4 linked regions of the Arabidopsis thaliana genome follow. The protein of the gene in region 1 interacts with the protein of each later gene in a pairwise test. Each region holds a gene or a part of one and is shown on either strand. Other genes may lie near its edges. The genes, in order: AT1G48210, AT1G17200, UMAMIT11 and AT5G14210.

Region 1 (6,778 bases):
ACCTTTACAACGATTCAATTCCTATTAACTTACTTAGAAGCCAAAAACTGGACAATATAAGAAAAACAAAGACAAGTGGTGCAGTTGAAATATGTGAGCTACCTATTGAGTTATGTGCTTGACTTGGTCCGGTGTCAGCAGGATTACGAACATCCTCACTCCCACACCAGCCAAAACAGCTCATTATATTACACCCTTTTCTCACACGAGCTAACTTAACTGTAATAGTACAGAAGACAAAATGTGACAAAAGGTATAAAAAAAGGGTTTGATAGCACCTTAAGCTTCTATCTCCTACTTATGAAAGTGTAAGATAATATAGACAACAAACAGTTTTGAAAACAAGATTTGCCTATCTAAGACAAAGAGAAGAGAGTAAAATGGTAAGATCAATGATCTTATCTCTCTTTATTACTCAAGCAATTAAATTGTCAAACACGAACAACTGAGACATTATGTTCCCTAAACCTAGAATTTTCATAAGTCAACGAGATATAACATAGGGATACGGATTTCAAACATGAAAAGTTAGAAACAATCAACTCCTTTCTAACCCTCGAAAGGAAGATCCTTTTTGAAAAGGTTGTTTGATATTTAAGCAAAGTACCAAAAGGGAAACTCGCAACAGAGGAAGAAGAAGCATAAGGTTTACCTTTTGCTACAAGAAAAAACTAGGAAAGGAGAGAAAGAGAAAGAGAGAACTTGAAACTCTCTATTGGGAGTCGAATCTTTCATGGTTGTTTACCATTTTAGATGAGAATTTTGAAAATGTCTTAATGATCGTCAACCACTTTTTAAATAACTAGATGACCATTGTTGCCTTGTTGCTATTTTACTTGGAACAAGTCTAATATGAGTCAAATACTTAAAATACAGCTTCAGTGAATCACATTCAAATTCCCCCAGGCAGCCAAAGCACTGAAACAGAGGAGATCTCTAGATTTCTCTAGGCGCCGTCGCATCGCATAGCAACATGTATTGCAAATTCCTATGATCTGTAGCAAAAACATCATCTCAATGAAAATGTAGTATCAGAATTTAGTAATGAGTTTTCTGAATTCACAGGAAAACATAAAATATATTGATATAGAGGAGAGACATACACATGTCTTGAAAAGTGGGACTTGAGAATGAAGAGTTAATGAGATAAGGTCCCATAAATTTACACAATACAGAACCAAAATGAATAATACACATTTGATGAATCATCATGATCAGAAGATGAGATATGGGGGATTGAATATTTGATCAGTAGGGGTTCCTATGTGGAGTCTGCGGAGCAGAACGAGGAGGGTTTAAAAGAGGTTGAAGTGCCTTCACCACAATGCTCATGTTTGGTCTGAAATTTGCCTCATATTGCACACAGAGTGCAGCCACTGCAGCTAGCTGATCATTATATCACACCATATGGCAAATAAAATCAGACTCATGAAATGTTTCAATCATGTAGATGAATGCGCTTATCACTTGTTTTGTTTCGCTACGTTGGTTCTAATGTCAGCACTCACAAGATAAACTGGTCTTTTAAGTTATACACTTAAGTTAAATCTTTTACGCATTATTGAAACAATGAGAGGAAAGCAATTTTGAGATTAATACCTTGCCAACAGCTTTGGGAGGGTACTCTCCGAGTAGTCTTGCATCAACGCATTGCTTCACTTTGTCTTCACTTAGTTTAGGGGTTGCCTGAGACGACAACACACAACATCTTTATTACTGAGCAACCGTATTATCTCATTTCTAGGAAACATTTAGAGTCACATTAATCTATTCGTACAAAATTCTGGCTTTTTCCAGCGTCTTCAGTTGTTATAACATCCCAAGTTTCAATTCTATAGGCCTAATTATGGAGGGCTTTTTCTTCCAAGTTCTTTTGAGGTTTTGACCCAATTTTTGTAATTTTCAACAGACTAAATGAGTTTATTATAAATTTGGTCTTCTTAAAAGCCTCTCTTATCGATGCGGCAAACCAGAATTAGAAGCAGAGAAGATCGCACTAAACATACCCATGTCACTAGACTTTGTTGTCCACGCGGTAAGGTATGATCGACTGGTTTACGACCAGTTAGGAGCTCCAGCAGAACAACGCCAAAACTGTACACATCGCTCTTTGAGCTCAACGTTCCTGTCATTGCATATCTGAAATACATTACACAAAAAGGTGTAAGCATAGATTCGTCAAAGATGCAATAGACACATAAGGGTAATTAAAAAGTGATAAGAGGAACGAAATCCATGTGAATGAAAAAGTGACTCATAACATTAGAGCATGAGAACCAAACATTTTTGAATGAAGACATGTAACCCATGGTTTAGTCTGAATGAAAGAAACTGAAAAAAATCTTTTCAAGGTAAAGAAAATCTTGAAAAAGACGTTACTCTGGAGCGTGGTAGCCAAAGGTTCCTAGCACACGAGTTGAGTGAAGGCGAGCAGCCATGTCAGGGGCTTGATCAGACAGATCAAAATCACCAATTTTGGCAACATCATCATCAAACAGAAGTACGTTGCTGGATTTGATGTCTCGGTGGATAACCTGAGGGCTCACCTTCTCATGCAAGTACTCAAGTCCTCTGGCCGCACCAACGGCGATTTTGACTCTCTGTTGCCACGTCATAACAGGACCTCTAAGTGCTCCTTTGGCACCTTTTTTGCCTGCACCAAAGAGTCACCACGTTTCATTAGTTTCTTCCTCCTGTATCTTACTTTCTAGATAGTTAAGTATTGAGTGACTAATCCATATCTAAGCAACGGTTCACATTTAATCACTCACCATGAAGAGTATCATGAAGAGATCCTTTAGGAGCAAATTCATAAGCAAGAACACGGAGAGGGCCATCAACACAATAGCCCATAAGTGCAGTAACATTGTCATGTCGCAATCTCGAAACCATTGATATCTGTTAAAAGCTTCTACGTCAGTAACAAAACAAAAGTAGACAGAACATTCCCAAGGGAGTGGTTTGATGCTGGACTATTTGCACATAGGACATAAGAACTAGGTTAAGCTGTTTTTGGCGATATTGTACAAGATAAAAAATGCAGTGATATACTTTATAGTATCTACCTGGGAAAGAAATTCTTGATCTGGCTGCTTACTAGAGTCAAGTTTCTTGATGGCAGCTGCACCACCGCTTTTAAGAACACCATAAAACACTCTTCCATAAGAACCCTCGCCGATCAAGGTCTTTGAACCATAGTTATCAGTTATATCTCTCAGCTCATCCACTGGAATGGCTGGTACAGAAATAGGCTGCATGGGAATAACAGGCTGGTTCATGGGTGGATCAGCTCTTTGGTAGTGGCCTCCATTGTAACCTTTATAACAATTAAAAATCCCATTAACTTGGATGCCAAAGGATGGAAACTAACAGAAACACTGACAAGTAATACAGTTGAAATAGGAACTGAGCTACCTGCTGGGTTATGCGCTGGCCTTGGGCCAGTGTCAGTAGCGTTGCGAAAATCCTCACTCCCACACCAACCAAAACAGCTCATTACACCCTTCTCTCACACGAGCTAACTAAACTTCTAAAAGAGAAAAGACAAAATGTCAACAAAACAGTGGTAAGAAACAAGGTTTGAGCAGCTTCTGAAACTTATTGATAACAAAGAGATTGTTCAGACACAGACCTCTAATAAACAGTTTGCACCAAACTATAGGCATGAAGAATAGACACAGAAAAATGAACAGCTTTGCAGAGTAAGATTCTAGTATCTCCTGTTTATGAAACTATATATATAAACAAGGTAAAATACAAGCACAATAAACAGTTTTGCAAACACGATTCGGCTATCTAAGCTTAATATTACAAGGTAAAGGCACTTATGTTACCAACAAAAGCTAGCAAATAGTTTCCAAAAAGAAAAGATTGGAAGAATTTCTCTAAGATGTGCAAATGAGTAAGCTTGTGCATTTGGCTAATCATGCCGTGTGCACGAACATGAACATATTCAGACACAAATTTTCAGTAAATGGTGTTGCAAAACAAGATTTTCTCATAGTAATAACCAAAAAGAAGAAAACTTTCAGAGAACTTCACAGAGTAGTTATCAGTAAAAACAAAAATAAGAATAGTTATAAGGATAAGGTTTTTGAGCATTTACAAAAACAGAATTATGAAAAATCAAAAAAAATTCACATAAATAAAGCCAAATATCAGAAGAAGTACATAGTTCATTGTTCATCTACATGATGAACCGATCAAAATCTCAAACACCAACAACAAGAAAGAGACATTTTATGTTCCGTAGACCTAGACTTTTCACAAGTCAACGAGGTTTTAACCTAGGATACAGATTTCAAACTTGAAAAACATGAAATCAATTACGATATTCCCTTTAATCATCAAAATCAACCTGAAATTCGAAACCCTCGGTTCTTAAAAAAGGGTTTTTGACATTTAAGGAAAGTACCAAAAAGAGAAACTCGTAACAGAGGAAGAAGAAAAAGCTTTTATTTACCTTTTTCGCTTACAAGAAAAACTACGGAAGAAATTCTCTGTCCGATTCGAATTCTCTCTGTCAAGACTTCGATGGTGGTTTTAGAGACTTTAGACGACAATTTGAAAAAGTGTTAGTGTTGATGATGAATGATCGTCTTTAACACTTTTAAAACAAATATCTTAATGATCACTGTTGCGTACTTTACTTACTTGGCAAAAGTGTTGAAATACCTAAATACCCCTAACATTGTTTTAGAATTACAGTCATATCCCCAAAACAACCTTTAGTATTGGAACGGAAGCGATTTCTCTCTCGTCGCCGTCGTATCAAACCTCGCCGCCGTAGCCGTCAACGCATCTTTCATTTCGGGTGAGCCTTTCTTCGTTCTTAAACTTCGTTACTCATTCCGATTTAGCCTCCCAGATTCCTTGTTTTTCTTGCTTCAATTTCATTATTTGTTTCCTGGATTCGTTGTTTAGCTTATTGATCGATCTGATTGATCTCTAATTGTAAAATCAGCATCACCATCTCCACATAATATAGAGTATGTAGCCAAAATGACACCATTTGTTATCGATTCCAACAAAATTTGGTGATTTCATCATTTAACTAATGTTTGAATGTTCTTAGATACAACAATCTCTGTGTTCATATTCAGCTTTACCTGAGTTTGTTGTGCTCACAGTGCATGGTTTTGGTTGATAGTTGCTAATATGTATTCCTTTGACTGATGGATTTGACTACACAGGAATGGCGAACAAGATTGCAATGTTTCTCTCGGAAGCAATGAACAACAATGCTGTGATAAACACGTGTCTAGGAGTATCGTTTGTGGTTTTGGGATTGAGATCTGATAAACAGCAGAAGTATGTTGAGGCCTTAGCAGAGCAGAAGGAGTCACTCTTCAAGTCTAATAAGGCAATGAAACTCACCATGTGGGAGTGGAAACAGCAGCTCTTTGCTGAAGCTGCCTCTGCGGGTAATGCCGCGGTTGTTCCTTTGTCGACGCTTAAGGCCATCTATGGTGAAGTTACCACCACAACCAATCAATCTGGTGATTACTCTCAGCCCTCTCTTTTGCTTGTATCAGCAATTATCTGTATAGAATTGTTCTCTTAGATGTTTGTTTATTACATATCTATACAAACTAGAGTAGTCATGTTTGTCTATATGTCACTTGTAGAACAAACAAATACTTTCCCTAGATTTAACAACAGAAGAGGGCTTACTGGTTTGAGAATGTGTGGTTAGGTATCACTGTTTGATACATCAATTTACATCTGTGCAAGTACAAACTAGGCTAGATTGGTGGGGTTGATAAAGAAAACCTGACGCACGTATTGAATTCAAAGAGAAATGGGGTTAGAATCGATATGATTTAGAGTGTAACATGAAGGGAAATAGATATGAACATGATTAGAAGCCGCCTTTCGGAGATTAGCTGTGTGTTCACTAACTGGTTTTATGTTCTTTCTTCCAGGTGACACAGCCAAGGAAGATTCTAAAGTGTCCACTCCCAAGATCATGATATGAGAGGTTGTTAAATTTTTGGTAGGTTCATTTCACTTCAAATTATTCACTCGGCTAAAGTAAAGATTAGCATTTAGTCTCATCATTTGCATAAATTGCACTTGTAAACTAGTTTGGCATCTATTGTCTGTTGTTGTGATCTTTTTTTTTTGTACCTCCTGGTATGGACAAAGCTCCTAAAATAAGGTAAGACCCTCCTTTGGGTTGATTCTTAAGGCTTTCACTATGTACCATTAGTCCAAAATTTGGAGACGACAAAGCCTTGTTTGTTGGGTAAACTTGAAAAGAAAAATCCAATTTTGTTACATGAAATGAAAATTTGATACCATGGTGATTAACTTGATCCTTAGATTAATAACATCCTTTCATACATATAAAGAGTAAATAAAACATAGATATTAGAATATTATTGAAAATAAACACGAGATAAGGAATATCAGTTTCAAATTTATCATTTGCAAGTTGAGGATGATGGTTAGGTAAAATGGTCGAATTTACAAGTCGGACCGGATCTGCAAATGCCGAAGCGACTGTAATGCGGGCAAATGGCTTGACCAGGTCTTAATGGTAAGCCCTTGTCATTGAGAGTACATTGAGGCTCGCTCGGCGTTATATTCTTCGGGTGATGGTATTTGCAGTTTTGTTTCAGATAACAGTTTCCAGTTCTAAGATAATAGCTGCACTCTGGTTCGCCTGGACGTTCTGGGAATTTTTCTTCAGACATATTTTCTCTTCTCCTAGTATTATATTGTTTGCATGTACTTGTATATCTCTTCTACCTATAATCTATATATATTACCAGAA
Region 2 (4,716 bases), about 12 Mb from region 1:
ACATTTCAAGACACTTGAGACAGAGCTCGGAGACAAACCTTATTACGGTGGTGAAGTATTTGGATACCTAGACATTGCATTAATGGGATACTACAGCTGGTTCAAGGCCATGGAGAAATTTGGTGAATTCAGTATCGAAACAGAGTTTCCTATATTGACTACGTGGACCAAGAGGTGTTTGGAAAGAGAGAGTGTGGTCAAGGCATTGGCTGATTCTGATAGGATCATTGAGTATGTTTATGTCCTGAGGAAGAAATTTGGAGCAGCGTAAAAAAATGGTTTGGGTTTCAAGAAGGCTGTTATTTTCTGTCTTTTATAATGTTTCATGTGAGGTTTGTAATTGTTATTTCTGTCGTTTTGTTGAAAGTATGATAAACCGTAATAACGAAATGTTTACTGTACCCTATTAAATTCGACGACATTGCACTCAATTTGAATAAACCGGATTAGCTTCAGTAAACCATCCGGTTTAATCGAAGAGTCGTTTCAGTTCACGAACCGTACATATTAATTCCGAGGACTTGTTCTTCCTGATATCAATTATATCAACATCATCTGACATGACATCTTATAACAAATGATTGATCTATTTTCAATTACAAATACAATATGTAGTTGGACTTAATATAACTAATGATTAACTTACTCTTTTTGTTGTTTATAATAGAGATATTTAATAATCTATAACAAATCAATCCAGTAATATATGGAATTCTTGTGTCTTTCATGATTTATCGTTAATTGTGGAGCTATGAATCAAATTCGAAAGAAATGTTACAATATACCTCTAGATTGAGACTGGCCACGAGACTGAGAACACTTATCTATCTTGTATTTTTATTTTTGGTTTTATATTTTTGTCAAATTTATTTTTGCTTTTATCTTACGAGGCAGTTTAAGTTTAAACATTAACAAACAAAAACAAAACAATAAAATTATGGTCAATGTAATTACACATATATATATATATGTATAATCTTGCGTAAAGATATGGTTTGATTGATCCAACACTTAAACAAAACCTTTAATATGCGTTGCTAAGCTGTCCCTTATCATAATCCCTATCAAATTCATCATTCATATTTTTTAGTTCCTCTATTATTTATTTATTTAAGGGTAAATTAGGAAAAAGTCTCCTATTAATTGACAAAGGCAATTGAATTCATAATTACGAAAGAACCTATCAACGTTATTTTCGTCGCTAATTATAGTAACCTGAATTTTTTGATGACGTTATTATGATCACGTGGAGCTCGGAGGAACTCAATAAATAATGTACAATAACTGATTTATACTTGTCTCAGTATACGGATATAAGATATTTTTCCAAAACAATGAAAGTACACGTTGCCTTGCCAGTTGCCTGCATATATATACACATCGTCTAGTAGATACCATTACAGTATATTGTTGTTGAGGTTTTATAAATTGTGTAATGATTTTGTATAAATTAAAGAAACATATCTCCAGGCATCTCATAATTACGAAATCACGTTTAACTTTATAAAATATTATTAATACCACAAGATTTGAAAGTATTTTTAACAAATCATAATTTGAATCATATGTGAAATTTTGCAGCCAAGAGCATTCATATTTGATCTACCAGAATGTCATAATGATCAAATTTCATATTTGATCCGCCAAGACCCTGAGCATTCATTTGATCCACCAAATTAAAAAGTCCTAGTGGATTATAACTTAGAATTATTTACTTTTATTAAATCAACTAATCTATGAACCACTCAACCACATACTACATTATAAGAAAGAAAACGTAAGTAGCCAAACTAATACTCTATACATTTATTATATAAGACGAAACAAGATATATCCATTCTCGACCACGACATTGGATTAGCTTAAAGTTATTTTTAGTATCCTATAAACAGTACCGTAAACGGAGCAATCTTGCAAATCATTTGCTTCAAGTTCAAAAACCTATCTAGGGTTCTCTGGTGGAGATGTGCTAACTGATTTTCTAACTTGAGTTTAGTATAGTAATTTTTGTTTTTTTTTTCGTATTTTAAGATTTGAACTGAAGGATTTAGAAAAGAAATGATTCCAATCTTGAGTATAGAGAGAGACCTTCATACGGAGTATATTACAATGAATTATAATCTAGATTGTAGTGGAGTGATCAATATTTTGCTTTTTAGCGGGGAGTTATCATTTTCGAAGGCTTTAAATGTTTTTTTTTGCTTGGGAAATGTGAGGAGTGTCATGAATATCGAAATTAAATGCATTCACCAACCCTATCGATCCAACACTTCCCTTTAGTTAATGTCACACATTAAAATCATATCCACTTGTTTATAACCACATTTTCTCTCAAAATCCATAAAAAGAGAGAGAGATAAATAAAGAGAAAACTAAAGAAGCTAGAAGATGGAGAAAAGTAATGATCATGACAAGGCTAGCCACGGCGGCTCCGGTGGTGGTGCCACGGAGAAGTGGGAGGAGACTAGCCTCGGAATCCGAACTGCCGAGACAATGCTCCGGTTAGCTCCGGTGGGCCTTTGTGTTGCAGCACTTGTTGTCATGCTTAAGGACTCTGAGACTAATGAGTTCGGTTCAATTTCTTACTCCAATCTCACAGCCTTTAGGTACGTATCTTCTCCATACACATATATTAACTGTTCATCTTCAAGATGTAGAGTTATTTCTTCTTGCATACTATTTACAATTAGGGTTTATATGTTGTGAGATGGTGTGGCGAAGTTTCACATGAAACACACAAAAAAAGTTCTAGTTTTAAGAAACTGACTGTAACTATGTGCATACATATTAGTATATTACATATGTACATGTATATTAACCTATATCTACATATTTCACCAAAATTTGTAATCAGAATCCCAATATTTTCAGAATTAATTAAATTAATTTGGATCGTTAAACCAAACAAATTGTGCTGACTATGAAGACACGTCGAGCTTTTGGCCAGTTTCTAATTTGTTATTTGGTTTACCAGATTGATTATGACCGGTTTTGTAGTTGTAAACATTATGTTATCTTTATTGAACTTCCCAAACTTTTCCTTAAAATTTTGGCCCCAAATTTTCGTTCTTCTCATGAAACAAGCGGCTCTGATGAGTTAAATACAAAATGGAGAATTTTTACTTTTGTCTAGGGCCCCAAAATGCTAGGCAAAGACACGTATTAGTCAAGCTACATTTGTTGGTTATCGAAGTTAGCATAGATAGGGTTTGATAAAGTATAGTCGAAATAAACTGTTTTTGTAAAAAAATATTGATTATCGGTAATGGTAATAATGTAATTACAAACTTAGGTACTTGGTGCACGCAAATGGAATATGTGCAGGCTACTCTCTTCTATCAGCAGCCATTGCAGCGATGCCTCGTTCTTCTTCGACAATGCCTCGTGTTTGGACCTTCTTTTGTCTCGACCAGGTCTACTATTCAAAAAATTCGGTTATAAATGATCCACTGAAGTACAAAAATTAATTTCATAATGTTTTATTGTCTCAGCTTCTGACCTACCTGGTTCTTGCTGCTGGAGCTGTATCAGCTGAGGTTCTATACTTGGCTTACAATGGAGACTCAGCCATTACTTGGAGCGATGCATGTAGCTCCTATGGCGGTTTCTGTCATAGAGCCACTGCTTCTGTTATAATCACATTCTTTGTGGTTTGTTTCTACATCGTTCTCTCTCTAATCTCCTCTTATAAGCTCTTTACTCGCTTTGATCCTCCTTCCATTGTTGACTCCGCCAAGAATCTCGAAGTCGCTGTCTTCGGAAGTTAGATCCTCCATTTGCTCTTCAAGTACATCTAGTTTGTCATGTTTCAAATGTTGTGTGTTTTTAACTTTGGTCAAGAGAAAGAATGCTTATGTGTTTGCTCTTCTTTCATTGCTTTTCTTCCTATTACGACTCGTCTAACTAATTGAAGGGTATAAACAAGAGAATCATACGGAAAAAAAACACAAGTCGAATCATACAAAATTACCGGAGCCAAATTATCCTGAACACAAGTATACAACGGTTCAAAACACACATTGTCTTGTAAATTAATTTCAAGCAAACCAAAGTTGTTAATCCAGGATTATGATAAACAGCAAAAAAAAAAGGAGGAAGATACAACAAGAGTCTATAAGATTATTAAATAACAAGATTCAGCACTATCACCTTTGTTTAGGCAGTCTTTAACTTTTACTTACTACACAAACTTTTACTTTAAATTCATAGAAACCCCAACGTTTATAGATCAGAGAGATTATAGTAACTTCTTTATTTGTACTGCAAAAAAAGGAAACCCAAGCTAAAGAGCCCTAACCAAGTGTTGTTCAAGCTTATATGCTTCACCACACCAATATATATATATTGATTTCATCTGCAATTGTACCCTTTTGTTTTTATTCGCAAGCAAATTATTCTTACTTTTTCCCATGGCTGCTGATAAAAGAGTGGCGTTTCAAGAGCTTCTGGGAAGGAGTTCGGTGATCATCCTACAAACAAAAGAGTTGAAACAAAGTTAGTGTTAGTGTCAGATCATCCTGAGAAGGAAGAAAATAAAGTAACGGATAAGTTGGTAACAAACCTTGCACAGAGATGCAGCTGATTCTGATTCCATTGTCTGGTTTTGAGGGTTTTCAAGCGACTGGAACGAATCAAGGGCATCAAGAGTTAGTTGCCACCCACAAACTGCCTCAGCAAAACCTGAAGAACCCGAGCTATTGCTGCTACATCCAGCAG
Region 3 (5,555 bases), on another chromosome or scaffold:
TTTGATTTCCCCACGCACTAATCATCCGTCACAAAAAAAAGAAGAAGATAATAGATTATTCACGAATTAATCAGTTGGTAAGAAAAAAAAATAGATAGTTTATTTGTTTTAAAACGCCAAAAAAAAAAATTGGTGTGGGAGAGAGTCGGTGTTGTATGTTGGGGTCAGTGGGACCAGACGGGTAGGTGAGTGTGTTTGGTGAGAGGTAAATTTTTATTTGTTTTTGTGAACTTTTTCTTTTAGGTGTCTTGTGAATTCGTGTTATTATAATTATTATAGGTGAGTTCAATGATTCAATGTTTGGTTCAATTATAAGACGTAGGTGTTATTTCCTTTGAACAAAGAGAGGTTATATTTTGTGTTAGGCCCTACTTTTTTTGGGTTAAATTTAAAATGTCTGGCCAAACTTCTCTCAATTCACTTTATTTCAACAATCATGTTACATGCAACGGCAAGTCGGCAACTAGACCTTGCGTGCAAAGAAGTCCACTTTCACCTTGAGAAATCCAATAATTGATTCCTTAAATTCTATAAGAAAATAAACAACTCTGACGTGCATTGTTCCACACAAAGGAATACACCATATAGACATAGTAATACACACGCATATGTAAGTTCCGTTACTGATACATACCCACCACCATCTTTTATGAATTACGGTACCAGTTTATAAAATCTACATATACATCATTTTCTTGTAAGTTGTAACATTATAACATCTTTTGCAGGAAATAATATCGAACTTTTATAATCTACATATAGCTATGTTTTTGAGAATGAACTAAGAATTCTATACTATTTAAGGTTAGCACTTAGCAGTACCGAAAGAGATTCCATATTTTTCTGACTAAAGTTTTTGTCAAGTAATATAGTCATTTTCTTCAATATGAATTGAGATAGGTGTTAATGGGCTCTGGGCCGAGAATATTTTTAAGCAGAAGGCCTGACACTAATAAAAAGCAATTACATTTTGGTTTAATTCCCGGTTATGTTATTGTTTTTGACTTTTGTTATGTTTGCATTTGTTGGCAGAATGTTTTCGATATACGTACATCAAAAATATGGAACAGTGAGTAGTGAGTACATTGTTAACACACACACAAAAAAACTTACGATTTTTTTTTATAATATAGTTCACTAAAACCGCCGTAAAAATGGTATGTAACAGATGCGTACCAATACCAAATGTAGTGATTACACGGGATTGTATAGCTAGTCAACGATCAAAATCGAATCCCTTAGTTACAATAAGAAATCAAAACTATAAATAAAATATAAAACTTTTGAAGCACGGGAAAAGGAATTCAAACTTACAAGTATCAAAAAAAGAAGTTACTCTTCTCCCCAATTTTGCTTCTAACAAAAAGTAAAAAAAAAATTGAAAACCCATCTAGTTAGGTCGTGAAACGCTATGCACATTTTCACTACAAAAAACTACCACCACCACTTCCGGAACTGACGACTCCTTCTCCGACGTAGCCTTTCCGGTTTCAACATCCTCCTCATCAGCTTCGTCGATTTTCGGCATTATCGTTAGACCATTATTGCCACTACAACACTTAACGGCTACAACGTTATCTTCATGGCGTGTTTCTTCGCCGTCATCATCTACATGTTTGCCCCATAACACGGCGTAGACTCCCACCATCAAAACAACCACTCCAATAACCCTGAAAAAAGAAAACAAATTTCGGTTTGATTAATTAACAAGACAGAGCCAAGACTAAACCGGGAATATATCATAATTAACCGGTTGTTGTTAACGTACCCTCCAAGGTAGATTCCTTGACCGAGAACGAAGAAGCTCATGATGGAGACAATGACAACGATAAGAGGGTTAAAAGCAGTGACAAAGACCGGTCCTTTTCGCTGCATCATAAGTCCTTGAACGTAGTAAGCTATGCTCGACGACATTATTCCCTGTAACCGTTACCAATCACAATGTTAGTATCAATATTTTTGTAAACTGATCTTTTTGTTATTTGTGAAAGTGGCATGATGAAATAAAGGACGAACCGCGTAGGCAGAAGCGAGAAGGTTCATGTCAAAACCGATGTTCAAAGCAGAAGGATTGTGTTCCATTACGAAGGCTAGGGCTAAAGACTGTAACGTTCCCATGAAACACACCATTGTTGACATTGAGAGATGGGCTGAGTATTTCTTCAAAGTCGCAGCCTATTTAACAAAATATAAAAGCCTAATTCGTTAAATCTATATTTTTATATATTACGAAAACAGTGAAAAAAAATTCCAATCATATTATTATTTTAGATATAGTTAACCCAATTATTTTTTTAAAAATTATATAACATGAAAAATTAGAAACAACATCCCAGTAACATTATTAATACTATATCTAAAATTTCAAATTTTTTATATTACTTTTACGTATCCCCTACATGGTTTGGTGCATAAACTATATTTTCCTATGTTGATGGAAATTTAAAACTAATCCTAAAAACTATATTATACGTTTTTTAGTGATGTAAGAAGTGAGTTATATTATACACAGGATCAATATATAATTGATACATACCTGAAGAACAAAGAACGACGCCCATGAGAGGGAAGCGAGGAGTAGGAAGACGGCAGCCTTAAGATAGTCAGCCGTCGGCGGCGAAGAGGCGGCCGTGAGGTGAGACCGGAAGAAATTAATGAAAGGACCTTTGTAGAATATCATCAATATGGATCCAACCACTGTCACTAACGTCCCCATCACTTTTACCAGGCATCTTACTTTTCTCATCTCCACTTTCTCCATCCTTTAAAACAAATATTTACATAAAACACACACATCAATATTCATAATTTATGACATCGATCGTCATACACTAATTGTACTACTATACATCTACTTTTGAATTGGTGCATATCCACGTACCAAAATATAATAAAACGTATCTTTTTCTTTGGTTAAATGAATAAATGTAAATAATAAAAAAGTTGCTTTTTGTATGTTACCTGAAAAGTGTGGCAAGGATAATGGTAATTGCAGGCACGATGTTGCTAACGGCGGAGGAAAACGTTGGTGATGTGAGTTTTAGACCGATATAGTATAAGTTCTGATCAATCACCGGCCTGTTCAAATTAAACCTTCCATGTTAGCCTTAATCGTAATTATTACAAAATCTTCTTGATATCAACGGTTCTGTTAGAAGACTAACCCGAGAAGAGCAAGAAGAAATATTCGCATGAATATTGGAAACGTCATCTTTGATCTCACTTTCCTACAAAAAAATCCCCAATACATAATTATTACTACCAAAAAAAAAAAAAAATCTAAGTCTTGCGAGAATCGATTTCTTTAGAAGAAATATGTACCTTTCGGAGAGAAGAGCGAAGGGTGCGATAGCGGCTGTGGCAAAAGCGTTGCGGTATGCAACAAGAACGTAATGGCTCATACCGCGGTCTAGGACGGTTTTAGTTACTAAGTTCATACCTGCGTATCCGAACTGAAGACAGACCATTGCAAAATAAGGTTTAGCTGATTCTGACATCCTTAATCCCATCTTAATATTTTGTTTTTGTTTTTGTTTTAGAGCAAGAAAAACCAATCAAAGTTTTGGAGTTATTTTAGGATCCTCGAGGACAAAAAAATTGTCAAATTAGTGTTATGTATATAAGAAAACTGAGTTAGGAAAAGAGAGGAGAGAAACACTTGGAGAATGTGCTTTTTCCTGAGAACCAAGTGGTGAGAGGTTCTTTGTATATATAGCATATTATTCGGATATGTTCAGTGTTCTCTGATTTCTTCCTTTGTATTTTTGTTATTTTTATTTTATTTTTTTTCGGTGACGTTAGCGTTAATTATTCCGGTTTGATTCGGCATAAGAATTGGGTGTCATGAATTCATTATCTCTAAAGTAAGTGGATAAAACATTCTACATATATATATTCTGTTTATATGACTTCGTGAAACCAATCATATTAGGATTTTAAATAAAACTTGTGGCTACTAAAAGTCGAGGTTAAAAGTGTGATCAGTGTGGAACAAGTGATTAATTAACATCACCTCATTTCTTAACAATCAAAATTTACATGTTTATAGTAGTATATGTTTTAGTTGCACAAAAAACAACAACATTAGTATATGTTGTAGTTGCAAAAAAAACAAAAAAACTAATAAGTACATATGGACACTAAAACGTAATTCTAACATGCATGTAAATTATTTTATTCATGCAATTGGCTTTAAACATGGTTTTTTTTTTTTTTAAACTGTGGACTTGTCTATAAAATCACAAAATCCAAACTGAACTAAAATTAGCCGGATCGGATTAGCGTATTGTTAAAAGATTAAAAGAAACTTGAAAGCCACAGAAAAATTGTTGCGATTGTTAGTCTACCGTGGTTTTCGATATATGTGGTCTCATGACTCATCACCATCATAAGCTAATTGCTTTATTTAATATATAGTAGAATATCTTTTGGTTAATGTATAGTAGAAATTTGACAAATCGACCGACCTCTGCAAAAAGATTAACTCATTGTAATGCTAATATGGGGTTATATACGTGTGGAATCTGACGTATGTCCACCTCTATCCTAATTACTACATTCATGGTCATAAATCATCGATCTTTAATAAGAGGTTAAATCAATGAAGAAGCATAAGTGGACAGATTGAGTTCCACGTGGCAGCAATAATCAATTGGGTTCAATCCTACGTACATTGGGACCGGCCAATATCTCAAAACTACATTTCATGTTTAGAAATTTAAGGTGGACAAAATATGTGTTACATGTCTTGTCTGTTATCGATCTCTTCACAAAGAAATAAAACCCCAGATATTTTTAGAGTTACGTAACAAAATAATTATGAGTTATATATGGTTAAAAGTTAATCTAATCAGAATATTATTAGAACACCTTACCAAAAAAAAGAATATTATTAGTACAAGAAAATCTTGAATATATGTTCTGTTTTGGGCACTTAATTATATATGTTCATACCTGTTGTTTACATTTCGGATAAGCAATTATATACTCAATTCTTGAATACATCTATACATGTTTGCGTACATATCATCGATCTGCCTAGAATTGCTTATCCGAAATGTAAACCTCATATATTATACAATATATAAATTCGTGAACAAAAGCTAACCACATAGCATAACTCATTGGATTCTTTTGTTTTATTATATATCCCAAATACTTCACTTATGTTTAGTTGGGCATCCATTATCTTTTATAGAATATGCATTAATGTCACTTTAAGTGACAATAGTGGCTACTTTACTTAGTTGGAGAAGGTTTGTGTGGAATTCGTATCTTAATTTTTTTTAAAAAAATTAGATAGATTCAACTGTATTATATTAGGTCGCATGACTTTGTTGATATGTATATGCACGGTGAGAATGAGAACAAAGACGAATTATTTTATTATGCAATCCGAAAAAGTTTGATGGTTCGATCGGTTCAACATCTTGATTTGCATTGTTTTAATTGGAGGTTCTAGTCTATCCATCATTATTTTTTTTGTTATTTTTTTGAAATTTAAACTATCCATTATGTTAATAATTAATAATTCAATATACTTATCCAAATAGAGG
Region 4 (7,528 bases), on another chromosome or scaffold:
TGACAGAATTGCTCGTGTAGCATTCGAGACTGCTAGGAAAAGGCGTGGCAAACTTTGTTCTGTTGACAAAGCCAATGTGTTGGATGTACGTTCTGTTAGTTCACTGAATTGTTTTTCCACTTTTGTGTGTTTTACGAAATGCAAATTTCTTTGTTTCATGTAGGCATCAATATTGTGGAGGAAAAGAGTAACAGCTTTAGCCTCTGAATATCCAGATGTTGAACTATCACATATGTATGTCGATAATGCTGCAATGCAGCTTATTCGTGACCCGAAACAGGTGCTTCTCGCACATATATCAAACTTAGTCGTTGATTAAGCTAACTCAGAAGTGGAACTAGTACTCACGGTGTTTTTAAAACAATGCAGTTTGACACAATCGTTACCAATAACATTTTTGGTGATATATTGTCTGATGAAGCTTCAATGATCACTGGAAGCATTGGAATGCTTCCATCTGCTAGTCTCGGTGAATCGGTAAACAAAATTAACTAACATCTTTCAAGGCTCCTCCTGTTTATAAACTAATGCGAAATGTTAAACTTGTGATGAAATCAGGGACCTGGACTCTTTGAACCTATACATGGTTCAGCACCAGATATAGCTGGACAAGACAAGGCAAACCCATTGGCCACCATTCTCAGCGCGGCGATGCTTCTGAAGTATGGACTTGGAGAAGAAAAGGCTGCAAAGAGGATTGAAGACGCTGTCGTGGATGCTCTGAACAAAGGGTTCAGAACCGGAGACATCTACTCCCCTGGAAATGTATGTGCATGATGATTCTTATCATTTGTTTTGTACAAGTTCGTAACAAAATACTTAAAAAAGTCTTTTGTGTTTTGAAAATGCAGAAACTGGTGGGATGCAAGGAAATGGGTGAGGAGGTTCTCAAATCAGTGGAATCCAAAGTTCCAGCTACTGTTTAAGTTTATTGATGATTTGAAGCACTTGAAAAAGTTTGTGTAGCACTTGGTTTTACGGTCACTTATATGCTAATCCATGCAACATTGTACCTTTTATAATAAATAAATTATTTGGGATCGATTCTGCAATTCAAAGACAAGATTCTCCAAAAACATTTGACAGGTCTCCTGCCTTTACTTACCTTGTTCTTGAAGATTGAGAATTTCTCTTCAACTACAAGACTCAATATCTTCTTCAATCAATATTTGTTTAACGAAATAAGTTTCAAGAGAAGACAAGCTACTATGATTTTTAGTCTCAAGAGTCTTACATTTTTATACTGAAAACCAAACTTATAGAGCTTTACATTTAGAAAACCGAAAAAACTATCAATCATTAGGTTAGCCTTTGGATTCACGACGACGTATCAGATTTGCGTTCAGCGTCTGCGGCAGACTGCATTTGAGCTGCGTATTGTAAGTTCCAGAGAACATCTTCAAAGGAAGGTCTTGCGGAAGGTTCAAGCAAAACACATTTATTGGCGATTGAGATCGCAATCGATAAAGACTCCTGCGAGCTTGTTGTTAGGACTGTTGGACTTACTATTTTCTGCCGACCGTCTTGGCTCCCAAATGATGTCTGCAAACACAACATTGCAGCAACAGCTATTAACCAAATTTGTTTCAATCAAATAACAATGATGATGCTTTTTTTTTTTGCTTTTTCTCTTTGTTACCATTTCGTTGAGAAGAAAAGCCTCTCCTTTTGTAGTGGGCACTGGTCCTATCAGAGATTCCAGAAGTATGAATCCGAAGTTGTACACATCGTCCTCTCTTTTAGCCTTTTTCCTGCATAATCTCAAAGTTTGGATTAGATTCTCATAAATGCCATGGAGTTTTGCTATACAAGGACAAAAGATGCATACTTTGACTTGTGGGTTTCTGACTTTGTCTGCAAAATGTAGAAGCAGGAGTAAAGTAGAGTCCTGAGTTAGTGTCAAAGAAGATCATACAAAATGAAGATAAACACAGTGAAAGAGAGTAAATAGAGCAAACCTCAAGCTTTTCGTTCTCTTCAATGATGGCAGAGACTCCATAGTCACTGAGCTTTGCAATCTTGTGTTCGTCAAGCAAAATATTGTTAGTCTTAAGCTGATTGTTGAATGAACCAGGCATTACACCGGTGTGAAGAAAATGAACTGCCTTTGCTATCTCAATCAGAATTGCTAGCCGATCTGGCCATGTCAGGATCTTCTCCGAGAAAGATTCTACAAATAAACAATATTCTAACAACAACGATTTTCCAAGTACAGAGAGATTCAGTATAACATTTAGTTTACTACAAATGCCAAACGACTGACCTGATAGATGTGTGCGATAGCTCCCGTTGGGCATATACTCGTATACAAGGTAGAGTATGGTTGCAACAGGATCGTGTTCTCCGCTGGTTTGCGTACAATGGCCCAAGAAGCCAAGGAGATGAGGATGGTTGAGCTTTGCCATCCAGTCTAAGTGACCTCTGATACTCTGGCTGGAGAATTTCCTTGATAAAACCAGACATCTGATAGCTATGGAACTTCCATTTTCCAGTGTTCCTCTGTATAGCTGCAAAGGATCAAAACAAGCAGAGTAAAGCAAATGACAGATAGGCAGATCACAAGAATTAATCTTGCAGAAGACAAACCATACCTTTCCAAGGGAGCCTTCACCTAAGAAACGTGATGAATCAAAATCGTCTGTGGCTTCCTTTAAATCTTCAAAAGAAAAGGACCGGCATGAGGGCACACCCTGTGCACCTAGCTTTGCTGTTTGAGAGATTAACCCTGCAAGACGAAATCATACAAGGATATTAAATCCCTGAAAGACAATTCCTAGCAGGAATAGTCTACATTTTGAGTCAAAAGTTACTCACTTGCACTAGCAAGAACTTCAGAGGAGAGACTGGTGTGTGAGTTATCTGTCACAACCTTAAGCCGAGTTTGCGGCACTGACTTTTCTCTTGAACAACAGCTAGAGCAGCGGTTTGTGCATAACAGGAGGAGGATAACTAATACAAAAAACACAAGAACAAGAACAGCTCCACCAATGACAGCAATCAAAATCCCAACCTTTCTTCCTTGGAACTGTTTTCCCTCAGTTTCAGCCTCTTCGCATAAGAATTCTTGATGCTGATCATGACTGCCAATTATGGACAAGCAGTTTCCACCAAGTTTAACAACTCGCTCGCCGGAAGCTCCTGCCAAGCAACGGGGAGGAGTCCCAATCAATCTGTTATTCGACAAATCCACAAATCCGAGTTTGCCTCCACAGGTCAGATTAAGAGGTAGCTTCCCACTGAGCTTGTTAGATGCCAAATCCAAGTAACTAATGTTTGGCAAAGAGAACAAGAACCGAGATGGAGTTCCAGTCAGATGATTGAACGACAAGTCAAGATGCTGAAGCTGAGACAAACCGCCAAAACGTCTTGGAATTTCGCCTGAGAAGGAGTTCTTGCTCAGGAGAACAGTAACTAATCTTATAGGCATGACAGGTAGTTCAGAATCCAAGTGGTTTTCTCTCAGATCCAGCATATGCAGATGACTTAACTTGCTGAGATCAGGCAATTTACCAGAAATCTCATTGTGTGATAGAGCAAGATTTGTTAGTCTTCCAATTCTGCAAATTGAAGAAGGAAATGGACCTTTGAACCGATTGTTCTTTAAACTAAGAACAGTAAGATTGGTCAAGGAATCCAACGTGTCTGGAACACTACCGTTGAAGTAATTTCCATCAAGCATCAGACTTTGAAGCATAACCAATCTGGAAATATCAGGAGGGACAGAGCCAAACAGAAAATTTGAACTCAAATCCAAGTACTCAAGAGAATTCAACCGATGGATTTTCCCTGGGAACTCACCATAGATACCTAGAGACACTAAGCTAAGAACCCTCAAGCTTGTAAGCCTTGTCAATGTGGTAACAAAAGAATCAATTATGAATGCTTCAGACAGAGTGTGATTTGGAAGTGAAGACCCATCAAACATACCAAATGGTTTAAAAAGCTTGTCCCCCATGACTTTAAGCTCCGTGATGGAATTACCTTGACAGGTGATGCTCATGTGAGCAGTTGCAGGGATTTGACATAAGTCTCCATAGTAATTTCCCCAAGATTCCAGAGCTTTAGGGAATTCCAGATGCTTCCTGAGCTGATACAGGACCTGAGTCTGAGAGTTCGGCAGTTGATGAGTGCTTTGTAAGAACATAACCCATGAAAGAAAGAGCAAAGGTAAAACCTTTAATTGTTCCATTGCAGGAAAAGAAAACAAAGATGAATTGAAACAGAACCCTAGAACTAGAAGCAGACTTGGATTCTGAGAGGAAAATGAAAGAGACCCATCTAGGTGTTTTCTAGTCAACTCAAGTCAAACCAAGCTCGTGATCCCAGACGCTCCTATGGAGCAAACTCCAAGGAACTGAATTGGTTTATAATCAAAATCCCTGAGAAAGAGGTCAGGAAACAAAAAGCAAAAGAAGAATAAGAGAGAGTGAGGACAAATGCAGAAATCGTGGAGGAGAATGTCGGTATTCTTGTGAGTCTGTTTGTCGGATTCAACACATAGACGAGAAAGAAACTAGGGAAGCTAGAGAAGAAGATGATAAGAGCATTAATGACAAAAGAGTTGAGCAGCATTAATGGCAGCTTCAGTAATTTATCTGAGAATCTTTTTTCTTCTTCTTCTTCTCTTTATGAAAGAAACAGTAAATTTAGAATGTGGGTCACGAAAAACAATCATAAAGCAAAAAATGTGCACTCAATTTGATGAAAGGTTGTTCCTTTTTATGACCAATTGTCTGGAAATCTCTTTTTCTGTAAGATAATGAGAAAACAAATGAAATTTGATTTTAAATTTGGTATAGATAAAGCATGATTACTGATTTGATGATACTTGTTTATTAGTGTATGCTTTGTGACTTTAGTTGACTCATAGAAGATGCCGTTAACACATGTCTCTTCTTCCCCACTTTGTTTATAAGATTTAAACATTGATTTTTGTGTGTGATTAGATTCCATGTCTTGTTAATTCACCAAACTGCCCTTCTACGATACCAAATGACAACCAAATGACAAAAGGAAGCTTTTGCTCTACGAATACGAAACATTGTCCGGTAGAAGTAGCTTTCGTTGAAGGACAAAATATGGCAATAAATAATTATATCATTCCCAACCATATAATAGCATTTCTAATAAGATAGTTTTATCAAACCATCTAAAACACGAATCCACAATGTTTAGATTGTAGCATATAGTTTTTTGAGACACATGCCAATAGACTTGTGGCATAAAGAGGGCAAGTAGGTCAATTACTTAGAGACAAAGGTGGTGATTATGCTTTGCTAAAGTTTTAAGGCCCACAATACAGTACATGTCCCACAGGTCTGTTCTACTCTCAAAGACCGGACCATCGTATTAATTAACTTCTTTTTTTGGTCTCACATGCGTCAATTTTTTTTATACAGTATATGAAGTATGAACATTAAAATGTTTCTTCACTGTTGTTTAACAAAATTGTTATTGTTGGTGCACAAAAAAAAAAAAGGTTTAACAAACATTTTGTTTTTTTTAAATTGACAATCGTGAGTGTAATCACAATTGATGCTTTAAAATTTGGCTAATACTTTCGTTAGCATTTTCAGGATGTTACTAAAACCTAGTATATTTCATAGCCAATATGATGTTTCAATACTGTTAGTGTTATAACTTATGATTTACCATTAAAATTATAAAACTAATATAAACATAAAAGATATGTAACCATCATTATTAAGCATACCACAAAAAGGAACAAAAGGACTAGAGAACAATGCAAGCTCTATTACTGATTCTGCTTTGGTATCAAAAAGAGACTTAACAAGACATTATGGGTTAAGACAGATAACGCTTTATAGGAGAATGATAAGACATAACATAAGACTCCACGAAATTGGAACCGGGAGAGCATGTGGGACGAACAGAAACGGGCATTCAGATACTAACATCTAACATTAGGACAACCTTTTTGGGACCATCTTATGGTTGTGGCTTTGGAGAAAAAACAATTAAAACATCAACATCCCCTTCCCACCAGAAACCAAACAAGTTTCTCTCCAACTTGTCTAGAGAGCAGAAATGATATCTTCAAGATAAGACAATATCAGCAATTTGTTTTAAAGATTCTTCAATCCTAAAATCCCTCACCCTATCATATTCTTCTACCTAGACAGACCATACCAGTGATGCAACAAGAAAACAGACCAAACAATACATAAATAGTTTATTCTGGAATTAGTGAGCCTTATGAGAATCTGGGTTTTGCTGAGTTGTTGGCTAATCGCACGGCGGCTTGTTGCATTTTACAAGTTTACAAAGTAAGTGATAAAAAGGGACGAACCTTGACAATGTTATAAGCTGTCATTTGGTTTCTTGTCATTTGAGCAAGACTCCAGGTATGAGATCACAAGGTCAGCTGCTTTGCAACCTGATGCTATTGATTTCCCAACAGAGAGCCCCCCTCGATGATTACCTGTTTATTTTGGTCCGTGCACAATAGATAAATAACTGCAATGAATCGTCTCGAGGCCATATACTGACTACATTCATCATCATGGATCATATAAGACTGAAACTTTAAATTGAAGTTACCTGCATAGAAGAACCCAGGTAGATCATTCTCCATCTTGTCAATTGCTTCCATGACTGAGTCATAGCTGCTGTCATACAACGGGAATGCTTTCCTCCAATAGTAATGGCTGCAGATAACATATATTGTTTATCTATAAGGGTGGTAATCTTCTCTTTCGTACACTAAAACGATCAAATCAAAAAAATCTCCAAAGTTCACATACTTGACAGACACGGGTTCACCTTCAACCCCCAACAGTCGCTGAAGGTCAGAAGTCACAACTTGTTTTAATTCGTCACTACGAAGATTAAACCAGAAAGAAAAAAAAGTAGTCAGAATTGGGTAAAGTAGGAAACTAGAAAAATGGTATAAATGCCTCGATTCTTTGTAGCTTTTCGTAAGCAGTCAAATTTCACTTACGTGGAAGCTTTGGCTAGTTCCTGGTTCCTACTCCCACCAATAAAAGTTGTATATAGATGAACGTCACTAGGGGAACGATCTGGAAACATCATTGATGAAAAAAGTGTACCTGCGTATAGAGGAGTATGAAGTATTGATAAATATAGAAGGAAAAGTATAGGGCTATTTGTTTGAGTTAAGGCCACACCAACAAGTTACCTAGAGTTTTGAAACCATGCTTTTGCTCCTTAGATGGAATGAGTACCCCAAAGCCTTCAAGAGGTCTCTTTACTTTCTCCTTTGTGAATGTGGTGATTAAAACCGAGAGGGGCATGTAATTAATCTGAGAAAAGAACAAGATCAACATCGATATGCAATTAACTTGGGATAAATAGTACATATAAAAGATAACTAATCATGCAAGGTAGTTCTTTGATGTCACATTAAGGTTCATTATCAGTATTTGGAGTAATACTGGACCACATCTAGATGTAGGCCTACTACTCTCAAACATAAACTTCTGAGTTGTAAAAGACACAATTACCTCGGGGAGAAAGTTTAGCTGAAAGGGTTGTCCTCCTTTCATAA

What was found.
Region 2: the proteins of AT1G48210 (region 1) and AT1G17200 interact in a protein complementation assay, tested with the Arabidopsis thaliana proteins (one large-scale study listed by BioGRID).
Region 3: the proteins of AT1G48210 (region 1) and UMAMIT11 interact in a protein complementation assay, tested with the Arabidopsis thaliana proteins (one large-scale study listed by BioGRID).
Region 4: the proteins of AT1G48210 (region 1) and AT5G14210 interact in a protein complementation assay, tested with the Arabidopsis thaliana proteins (one large-scale study listed by BioGRID).

Annotation. Positions count from the first base shown.
Region 1 is NC_003070.9:17,796,269-17,803,046, reverse strand, and holds AT1G48210 (Protein kinase superfamily protein), read right to left. Parts: upstream 4,617-6,778; 5' UTR 4,463-4,616; exon of another isoform or gene 3,632-4,462; intron 3,530-3,631; 5' UTR 3,497-3,529; coding exon 3,415-3,496; intron 3,317-3,414; coding exon 3,066-3,316; intron 2,899-3,065; coding exon 2,772-2,898; intron 2,654-2,771; coding exon 2,380-2,653; intron 2,140-2,379; coding exon 2,007-2,139; coding exon of another isoform or gene 1,941-2,006; exon of another isoform or gene 1,687-1,940; coding exon 1,600-1,686; intron 1,387-1,599; coding exon 1,249-1,386; 3' UTR 717-1,248; downstream 1-716. Other genes in the region: AT1G48220 (Protein kinase superfamily protein), read right to left, coding at 1-2, 103-184; AT1G48200 (uncharacterized protein), read left to right, coding at 5,195-5,498, 5,925-5,977; AT1G48195 (Zinc finger C-x8-C-x5-C-x3-H type family protein), read right to left, coding at 6,450-6,698.
Region 2 is NC_003070.9:5,876,105-5,880,820, forward strand, and holds AT1G17200 (Uncharacterized protein family (UPF0497)), read left to right. Parts: upstream 1-2,285; 5' UTR 2,286-2,388; coding exon 2,389-2,606; intron 2,607-3,260; exon of another isoform or gene 3,261-3,292; coding exon 3,293-3,413; intron 3,414-3,491; coding exon 3,492-3,767; 3' UTR 3,768-3,969; downstream 3,970-4,716. Other genes in the region: GSTU26 (glutathione S-transferase tau 26), read left to right, coding at 1-271; ILP1 (IAP-like protein 1), read right to left, coding at 4,398-4,469, 4,562-4,716.
Region 3 is NC_003071.7:17,062,006-17,067,560, forward strand, and holds UMAMIT11 (nodulin MtN21 /EamA-like transporter family protein), read right to left. Parts: upstream 3,809-5,555; 5' UTR 3,510-3,808; coding exon 3,322-3,509; intron 3,228-3,321; coding exon 3,165-3,227; intron 3,079-3,164; coding exon 2,962-3,078; intron 2,763-2,961; coding exon 2,537-2,762; intron 2,176-2,536; coding exon 2,017-2,175; intron 1,921-2,016; coding exon 1,769-1,920; intron 1,671-1,768; coding exon 1,391-1,670; 3' UTR 1,093-1,390; downstream 1-1,092.
Region 4 is NC_003076.8:4,577,186-4,584,713, forward strand, and holds AT5G14210 (Leucine-rich repeat protein kinase family protein), read right to left. Parts: upstream 5,672-7,528; 5' UTR 4,190-5,671; coding exon 2,815-4,189; intron 2,726-2,814; coding exon 2,592-2,725; intron 2,508-2,591; coding exon 1,959-2,507; intron 1,855-1,958; coding exon 1,829-1,854; intron 1,752-1,828; coding exon 1,640-1,751; coding exon of another isoform or gene 1,543-1,639; coding exon 1,318-1,542; downstream 1-1,317. Other genes in the region: IMD1 (isopropylmalate dehydrogenase 1), read left to right, coding at 1-85, 164-280, 370-477, 559-765, 852-926; HEMG2 (Flavin containing amine oxidoreductase family), read right to left, coding at 6,321-6,442, 6,562-6,668, 6,765-6,839, 6,962-7,070, 7,160-7,283, 7,485-7,528.